Macaca mulatta: one gene and its partner. The main gene of each other region encodes a partner of the protein of the gene in region 2 in a complex. Links are inferred from orthologs where the notes say so. Each region holds a gene or a part of one and is shown on either strand. Other genes may lie near its edges. The genes, in order: FCGRT and ALB.

What was found.
Region 1: the proteins of ALB (region 2) and FCGRT are in contact, whole or in part, in a crystal structure (PDB 6QIO), measured with the Homo sapiens proteins. The link is inferred for Macaca mulatta from reciprocal best matches to the Homo sapiens genes ALB and FCGRT. Residues at the interface, in NP_000468.1 of Homo sapiens: Arg105, Glu106, Thr107, Tyr108, Gly109, Glu110, Asp113, Asn133, Asn135, Gln441, Ser443, Pro445, Thr446, Glu449, Leu484, Leu487, His488, Thr491, Pro492, Val493, Tyr521, Val522, Pro523, Lys524, Thr530, Phe531, Thr532, Phe533, His534, Asp536; in NP_001129491.1 of Homo sapiens: Arg65, Glu67, Glu69, Gly72, Ala73, Val75, Trp76, Gln79, Val80, Ser81, Trp82, Trp84, Glu85, Lys86, Thr89, Arg92, Asn172, Lys173, Leu175, Thr176, Leu179, Phe180, His184, Glu188, Arg192, Gly195, Asn196, Trp199, Lys200, Glu201.

Annotation. Positions count from the first base shown.
Region 1 is NC_133424.1:61,952,873-61,957,431, reverse strand, and holds the start of FCGRT (IgG receptor FcRn large subunit p51 precursor), read right to left. Parts: upstream 3,094-4,559; 5' UTR 2,959-3,093; intron 2,837-2,958; exon of another isoform or gene 2,762-2,836; intron 2,675-2,761; exon of another isoform or gene 2,223-2,674; intron 2,080-2,222; 5' UTR 2,066-2,079; coding exon 1,993-2,065; intron 1,394-1,992; coding exon of another isoform or gene 1,376-1,393; coding exon 1,124-1,375; intron 1,047-1,123; coding exon 771-1,046; intron 1-770. UniProt on the Homo sapiens protein: Cell surface receptor that transfers passive humoral immunity from the mother to the newborn. Binds to the Fc region of monomeric immunoglobulin gamma and mediates its selective uptake from milk.
Region 2 is NC_133410.1:60,476,463-60,480,266, forward strand, and holds part of ALB (albumin), read right to left. Parts: intron 2,833-3,804; coding exon 2,703-2,832; intron 1,409-2,702; coding exon 1,194-1,408; intron 1-1,193. UniProt on the Homo sapiens protein: Binds water, Ca(2+), Na(+), K(+), fatty acids, hormones, bilirubin and drugs. Its main function is the regulation of the colloidal osmotic pressure of blood. Major zinc transporter in plasma, typically binds about 80% of all plasma zinc.

The DNA of each region.
Region 1 (4,559 bases), on a different chromosome or scaffold from region 2:
GCACCTGTAATCTCAGCTATTCAGGAGGCCAAAGCAGTAAGACTGCTTGAGCCTAGGAGTTCAAGACCAGCCTGGGCAACGTAGTGAGACACTGTGTCTATAAAAATTAAAGTCAGCCAGGTGTGACGATGCTGTGGTCGCAGCTACTTGGGAGGCTGACGTGGGAGGATTGCTTGAGCCTGGGAGGTTCAGGCTGCAGTGAGCTGAGATTGTGCCACCACACTCCAGCCTGGGGTGACAGAGAATCTGTCTCAAAAAAAAAAAAAAAAAAAAAAAAAAAGACAGCCAGGTGCGATGGCTCACGCTTGTAATCCCAGCACTTTGGGAGGCTGAGACGGGCGGATCACCTGCGGTTGGGAATTTGAGACCAGCCTGACCAGCATGAAGAAACCCCGCCTCTACTAAAAATACAAAATTAGCCAGGCATGGTGATGCATGCCTGTAATCCAGTTACTAGGGAGGCTGAGGCAGGAGAATCACTTGAACCCGGGAGGCGGAGGTTACAGTGAGCCGAGATCACACCATTGCACTCCAGCCTGGGCAACAAGAGTGAAACTTCGTCTCAACAAAAAAAGGCAAGGAAGCCAAGAGTTTGTCTTGGGGGGCGCTGGGGAGCCATGGGAGGGCTGAATGTAGAAAAACCCCTGAGGAATGGGGGCAGAGCGTGGGCTGCAGTGGGAGGCTGACTGAGGGTCCTGACAGGGGAACTGAGGCAGGTGGGCGTGATGGCAGAGAGGACAGAACAGCCTGTGGCTGCAGATCCGGCTCACCCTTCCACTCCAGGTTTCCACGGCCCCTCTCCAGGTGCTCCCGCAGCCGGTGTGGGCAAGAGAATAGCAGGAAGGTGAGCTCCTTGTTGGCCGCCTTGTCCTGCTGCTGCCACCGCTGACTGATAGCCAGGGCCTCGGGCCAGTCCCCACCCCAGGTGCCCTGCTTGAGGTCGAAATTCATGAACTCCTCGCCGTTCAGGGCGAACTTGGCGGTGGGCACCGAGGTGTTGTCAGGGCTCAGTTCACAGCCCAGCAGGCCCTGCAGAGTGTAGGGGCCTGGGGCGCCCACACACATGTAAGTGGGGCCCAGGAGCATGGACCCAGCCCCTTGCCCCTCCGGATTCGAATCTCACCTTTTCCCCCCAAAGCTTTGAAAGCTTCCAGAAAGAGCTTCTCCTTGATCCTCAGATCTGTGGTCTCTTTCTCCCAATACCAGGACACTTGGTTTTCCCAGACCCAAGCTCCACAGGGCTCCGCCTGGCCCCTCAGGCTGTCGTAGCTCAGGTACTGCTGCGGGCCCAGCCAGCCGGACACCCAGAAGGCAGGCGTCCCCGGGGCAGGCGAGGACACCGCGGTGAGGTGGTACAGGAGGGAGAGGTGGCTTTCTGCAGACAGAGACAGAGCTGAAGGGAGAACATGGGCGGGGAACTAGATTGCAGTGGGACAGATATCCAGGGAGGGAGAAGAATCTATTATGGAGAGGGAAGATTCAGAGGGAGGGGACAGAGACCCAGAGAGAGAGAGGGAGACAGAGACAGAGACCCAGAGAGAGAGAGACAGAGACCCAGAGAGAGAGAGACAGAGACCCAGAGAGAGAGAGAGAGAGAAGGACAGAGACCGGGGGGGGGGGGGACAGAGACCCAGAGAGAGACAGAGAGAGAAGGACAGAGACACAGAGAGAGAGAGGGACAGAGACCCAGAGAGACAGAAAGACAGAGACAGAGACCCAGGGAGAGAAACAGAGACCCAGAGAGAGAGAGAGAGAAAGGGACAGAGACCCAGACAGAGGCCCAGAGAGAGAGAGAGGGAAACAGAGACACAGAAGCGACAGGTGGTTCTCAGCCTCAGGCCCAGCAGGAGACGCTGAGAAAGTGAACTGAGCGGAGAAGGCAGCGCCCGGGACTCGCGGGGAACTCGGGTCCCGCTGGCTTCGCCCCTGCCTGCCTGGGGCCGCCTCCCACCGCCCGCCTGCAGCAGGGCCCCGGCCCGCAGCGGCCCTCACCTGCGCCCAGGCTCCCGGGCAGGAGAAAGAGCAGGAGCCCCAGCGCCCAGGGCTGAGGCCGCGGGACCCTCATGCTGAGAGGACGACCTGGGGCGGGAGGGGGCACGTGACTCCTCCCGACCCCCGGCCCGCCCCTTCCTCCCGGGGTACCAAGGGCAGGGCCGGGACCAGGACGCCGAGGAGGGGCTCTGCGGGCTCGGTCCAGACTGACAACAATGCCCTCCTCCTACCTGAAGAACTTTCACCCCTGAACTGGATCTCAGTTAATTAATTACAGAAACTTGATAGGCTGAGAGTCCCGGCCCCGAGCTCGGCCACGCCCCTTCCGTCCCCCTCAGGCCCCAGCCCCTCCTCCCTCGGACCCAGGAGTCCGGGCCCCCAACCCCTCCACCCTCCGACCGAGGAGTCCGGGCCCCCAGCCCCTCCACCCTCCGACCGAGGAGTCCGGGCCCCCAGCCCCTCCACCCTCCGACCGAGGAGTCCGGGCCGCCAACCCCTCCTCCCTCGGACCCAGGAGTCCGGGCCGCCAACCCCTCCACCCTCCGACCGAGGAGTCCGGGCCCCCAGCCCCTCCACCCTCCGACCGAGGAGTCCGGGCCCCCAACCCTTCCTCCCTCGGACCCAGGAGTCCGGGCCGCCTGCCCCTCCACCCTCCGACCGAGGAGTCCGGGCCCCCAACCCTTCCTCCCTCGGACCCAGGAGTCCGGGCCACCAGCCCCTCCACCCTCCGACCGAGGAGTCCGGGCCCCCAACCCCTCCTCCCTCGGACCCAGTGTCCAGACCCCCAGTGCCTCCTCCCTCCGTCCCAGGCGTCCAGGCCCCCAGCCCCTCCTCCCTCAGAACCAGTGTCGAGACCCCCAGCCCCTCCTCCCTCAGACGCACTGTCCAGACCCCCAGCCCCTCCTCCCTCAGGCCCAGGGGTCCAGGCCCTTCCCTCCTCCCTCAATCGGGGCCTGGTCGGCTCACGTTCCCTTCAGCCTCGCTCCCTTCCTGCCTGCGGCCCTGGCCGGCTCCTGGCTCCCGTGACTGGAGACCCCAGTTCCTCTCTCACATCCTGTGGGAGGCTGCTGCTCCCTGACTCCAAGAACATCCAGCCCCACCCCCCCCAGTTGCAGGGCACACCCCAGGCCCTAGGCCCAGCCTCTGTTTGTTTCTCAAAACGCTTGTGGTTCTTCTTTTTCCCCTTCCCTGTGGTTCCCGTTTTTTTTATTTTGAGGGTGTCCGCCGCCCAGGGAATTCTTGACAAAGCTGGGAAAGGAACCGGATGCCTTCGAAGTCCACAACTTGGAGGTCTCTGGATCCTCCTCCTACCCTTTTGTATCCCTGTGACCTTCCCTAGCGCTGGCTGTTAATCAAAATCTTATGGAAGCCTCCCTAGTTCCTCCTTCAAGCCCTTCCCCCGACATCCCGTTAGAAAGGTCCTGCAGGTGCTCTTTAATATCCTTCTGCTGGCCGGGCGCAGTGAGTCACGCCTGTAATCCCAGGACGCTGGGAGGCAGAGGCGGGCGGATCACGAGGTCAGGAGTTCGAGACCAGCCTGGCTAACACGGTGACACCCCCGTCTCTACTAATAATACAAATATTAGACCGGGCGCGGTGGCTAACGCCTGTAATCCCAGCACTTTGGGAGGCCAAGGCGGGCGGATCACGAGGTCAGGATGATCGACACCATCCTGGCTAACACCGTGAAACCCCATCTCTACTAAAAATACAAAAAATTAGCCCGTCGTGGTGGCGGGCGCCTATAGTCCCAGCTACTCAGGAGGCTGAAGCAGAAGAATGGGGTGAACTCAGGCGGTGGAGCTTGCAGTGAGCGGAGATCGTGCCACCACCGCACTCCAGCCTGGGAGCGAGACTCCCTCTCAAAAAAAAAAAAAAAAAAAAAATTAACTGGGTGTGGTGGAGCACCTGTAGTCCCAGCTGCTCTGGAGGCTGAGTCAGGAGAATTGCTTGAACCCAGGAGGTGGAGGTTGTGTAGCAGGATGAGCCACAGACAAAACTCCTCAGACACCAGATTAAAGAAGGAAGAGGTTTTTTATACAGCTGGGAGCGTCAGCAGACTCGCGTCTTAAGAGCCAAGCTCCCGGAAAAAGAAATACTTGGCCTTTTTAAAGGCTTACGACTTTAAGGGGTCCACGTGAAAGGGTCGTGATAAATCGAGCAAGTGTGGGAAACGTGACTGGGGGCTACGTGCATCAGCTAACAGAACAAAAAGTTTTACAATGCTTTTTTTTTTCATACAGTGTCTAGGATTTACAGATAACACAAGTAGTTTAGGCCAGGGGTTGATGTTATTATTATTACTTTTTTTTTTTTTTAACTCCTAGGGCTGGGTGGTGGTGCCAAAGTTGTCTGGCTATTTATCTTACTTTTGTTTCTTTCTCTCTTTCCTCCTGTCTTGTGAACTAGGCAAGGTGGGGGGAGGAGGGCAGCAGGAGTAGTAGTGGTCTCCTTCCTTATCCCCCGCTTTGAGCATTTTCACTAATTAGTGGGAGTTCTCACTTTTATTTTTACTTTCTGAGTCTCTTTGCGAGACAGAGCGATAGTTTTTTTTTTTTTTTTTTTTT
Region 2 (3,804 bases):
TCAGAGCCTTCGTCTCCTTCTCGGTAGAATGGAGATAACAAGATAACAATAGTATTTGTCGGCTGGGCGCCGTGGTTCATACTTGTAGTCTCAGCACTTCAGGAGGCTGAGGCAGGCAAATCACCTGCTGTCAGGAGTTTTAGACCAGCCTGACCAGCATGGTGAAACCCTGTCTCTATTAAAAATACAAAATTAGCCAGGCATGGTGGTGCGTGCCTGTAATCCTAGCTACTCGGGAGGCTGAGGCAGCAGAATCATTTGAACCTGGGAGGTAGAGGTTGCGGTGAGCCAAGATGGCGCCATTGCACTCCAGCCTGGGCAACAAGAGGAAAACTCTGTCTCAAGAAAAAAAATGTTATCTGTCCCAGAAGGTGGATTATGATAACTACATGACATAATCTACACAAAGCACACACTGCTTGGCACATATGAAGTCTTTGATGAATGACACCTGTTATTTTTATTAATATTTTGTTTGATTTAAACTACATCTCAAAAGGGTTTTGATAGATGGGTAGAGATATGTTCTTAAAATACTCTGTTTCTTCTCTGTATGAGTGAAATCTTGTAAGGTACATAATTTTATGAAATATTATTTAGTGCATAGTATGTTATCATAATCCAACAACAAAAATGCAAACTTTATCACCACACTTTCTGATAATATATAAACATTTATTTTGTAATTGAGTTTCATACCATATTGCCATTATACTGAACTTCCAGTCTTTTCACCAAATATAAAGCACCTGATGTCAGACTCTATATTTCTTTTTATACTTCTTTGCTACCATTGTATAGATTAGATAGATAGACTAGATTAGATGAGATTAGATTAGTCAGACAGACAGGCAATACGTAGTCACACACATAGATGTTCAAGAACTACACCTGGAATGAATGAATGAAGTATACATAATTTATATATACACAAAATGTTTCTAGAGGTATTTTCAGAAATATCCCTAAGGAGTAAGGAATGTTGAGCTTTTGCCATGAGCATATATTATTTTATGATAATGTATTTGACTAATTAACTATTTCAAAAATTGTTAAAGGCTGGGAAAGGGAAGGATGAAGAAACATTCTGGGCAGCAGGGAAATTGTAGCAATTCCACAGAAAAGCCTAGACCATCCTCCTAAATTGTGAAGTCACACCAAAGCTATAAAAGTATAATTTCTTATCTACTTACATGCCCAGGAAGACATCCTTTGCCTCAGCATAGTTTTTGCAAACATCCTTACTCTCAACATAATCAGCAGCTAATGAAGGCAAGTCAGCAGGCATCTCATCATTTTCCACTTCGGCAAGGCAGTGGGATTTTTCCAACAGAGGTTTATCACAGCATTCCTTCAGTTTACTGGAGATTGAATCTTGATTTTCACACATATACTTGGCAAGGTCCGCCTATAAGTAAGTTGGTGGAAATTGTTCAACACGAATTGACATTGCTATACATTCTCCTCAGACCTTTATTAAATTGGCAGAACATATTCATTGTATTCTAAGACCATACACATGTGCCTTCTATGAACATACTCTGTTTGCTCCTAAACCTGGAGATGTAGATAGGACTACAAAAACATTCCCACTTGATTAAAATAGACTAATGAGTAGCAGGTGCTCAGCTCAGTTATTTATTAATTTTATGTTTCTACTGTTAGGGCATTTAAGTTTTTTTCATTAAAACTCAATGCTGTTTTTCCAAATAATCTCCCCAAAATTAAGTGCAGGCCTTTTGAAACCAAATAACCCAATAAAATATGGAAGATTTTTGAAAAATGAGTCAAGATCATAGCCATAGACCCTGCTTACATACATAAAATAGCTGCCTTAAATTTTCCAGAAAGTGCCACGAGAGATTAGGATTCTAGTATTTGCCCATAAGTTTAATCTTGAAGAAAGGGAGAAAGAAAATATTATAAGTTTGGAGAAAAGAGATATCATTCCAAATATGTGCACGTCTAACAAAGACAGTTAATTAAGGGAAGGAATATAGAGAAGAAAAATACGTCATTTCCAAAAATATCTTCAAGTAGTGATCTTCTCCAAGTCCACCTACCTCCCTCAAAAAATCTTCTTAGGCCGAGTACGATGGCTCATGCCTGTAATCCCAGCACTTTGGGAGGCCGAGGTGGTGGATCACCTGAGGTCAGGAGTTCGAGACCAGCCTGGACAACATGGTGAAATCCCGCCTCTACTAAAAATACAAAATTAGCCAGGCATGGTGGCGCATGCATGTAATCCCAGCTACTTGGGAGGCTGAGGCATGAGAATCACTTGAACCCAGGAGGCAGAGGTTGCGCTGAGCCACGATCACACCATTGCACTCCAGCCTGGGCAACAAGAGTGAAACTCTGTCTCAAGAAAAGAAAAGAAAAATCTTCTTAGACATCTACCTTGCAGATGTTCTGCCAAGTAGAACCTTGTAACTGTTCTACTTCAGTTTAAGCCTTTATTTACAGTTAGAGCATGAGTGAAAGGAGTTACAAATCAGTGAATGGGTTTATCAGGTTATTTATAGCCAGGTTAAAAACAGAAAGGTATCACCACCATAGGCACGGAAAGATTGAAGATAGGGCAGACAAAAGCACAGAAGACAGTCTCAACCCACTGTCAGCTATCACTAATGATACCAAACGCATCCATTCTACCAACTTGAGTTTGCAAGCTACCAAAGAGCATGTCGATGACTCTTTACCCTGTCATCAGCACATTCAAGCAGATCTCCATGGCAGCATTCCGTGTGGACTTTGGTAAGATCTGTCACTAACTTGGAAACTTCTGCAAACTCAGCTTTGGGAAATTTCTGGCTCAAGCGAGCTACTGCCCTAAAAAGAAAATCGCCAATCAAAATGGTATTATCATGCAATATTTTATATGAAAGCACTAGGCAAATACTATTTCTCAAAAGAAAATTCAAAATGGACATACAGAAATATTTTTTAAAATTCATTAGTTCTAGTTCTGAACCAAACGGTAATCATTTTTCCTTAGGGCAGAATCATCCATTTAAGAGTGTGTGTGTGGTGGGTAGAAATCTAGTAAGTCATAAAAGCAGAAATAAAAAAGGAACTCTAAAAGGGGTAACAGGCTGAGAAGCATCAGGTTTGGTGTCCAGATGTGACTTCCAGCTCTGGCTTTATCACTTGTTAGCAGCAGGACTTGTTAGCAGAGGGCTCAGCCTCTCTGCACTTTAGCCTCTGCAGTGCCATGACAACATGCTAAATTGAAGAATTCTTTTGAGGATTAAATTAGATAATACATACAAAAGCATTTTATAATCTAGGAAGTACAAACTCCAATTATCTTTTTTCTCAATTGAAACACATTCTTTCTGACTTCTAAAGGTCTCTTAGAAAAGAAATCTTATAACTTCAACAGAATGAGGGAGTTTTTATTGATCATACTTATAAAAAGAAAGATCCAGCACTATCTTCAAACTCTATGACAAGATGTAAACGTCTAATTTTCTTCATTCTCTAGTCATTTCACAGTTGCCAAAATCGGGTAAAGAAGACTTTTTTCCCAAAAATCAATCATTGCCTGTTTATCTGTGTATAATTTTATGTTGGGGTTGTTTTGTTTATAAACTTGGCTTATTTTGGTGGTGTAGATGGTAGGAATGATGGGCAAATACGGTTCAATTGACAGTTTCTAGAGAGCATGCATAACGTCTGTTATTTTCATTTTATCTTCTGTTGTGTTGATTTGCTGTTGACTAATAGGTAAGGAGTGAGGGTGAGGGGGCAGCTAGTATTTTTCTTGACATGGCTATTAAAGTATGCTCCCAGAACTAACTA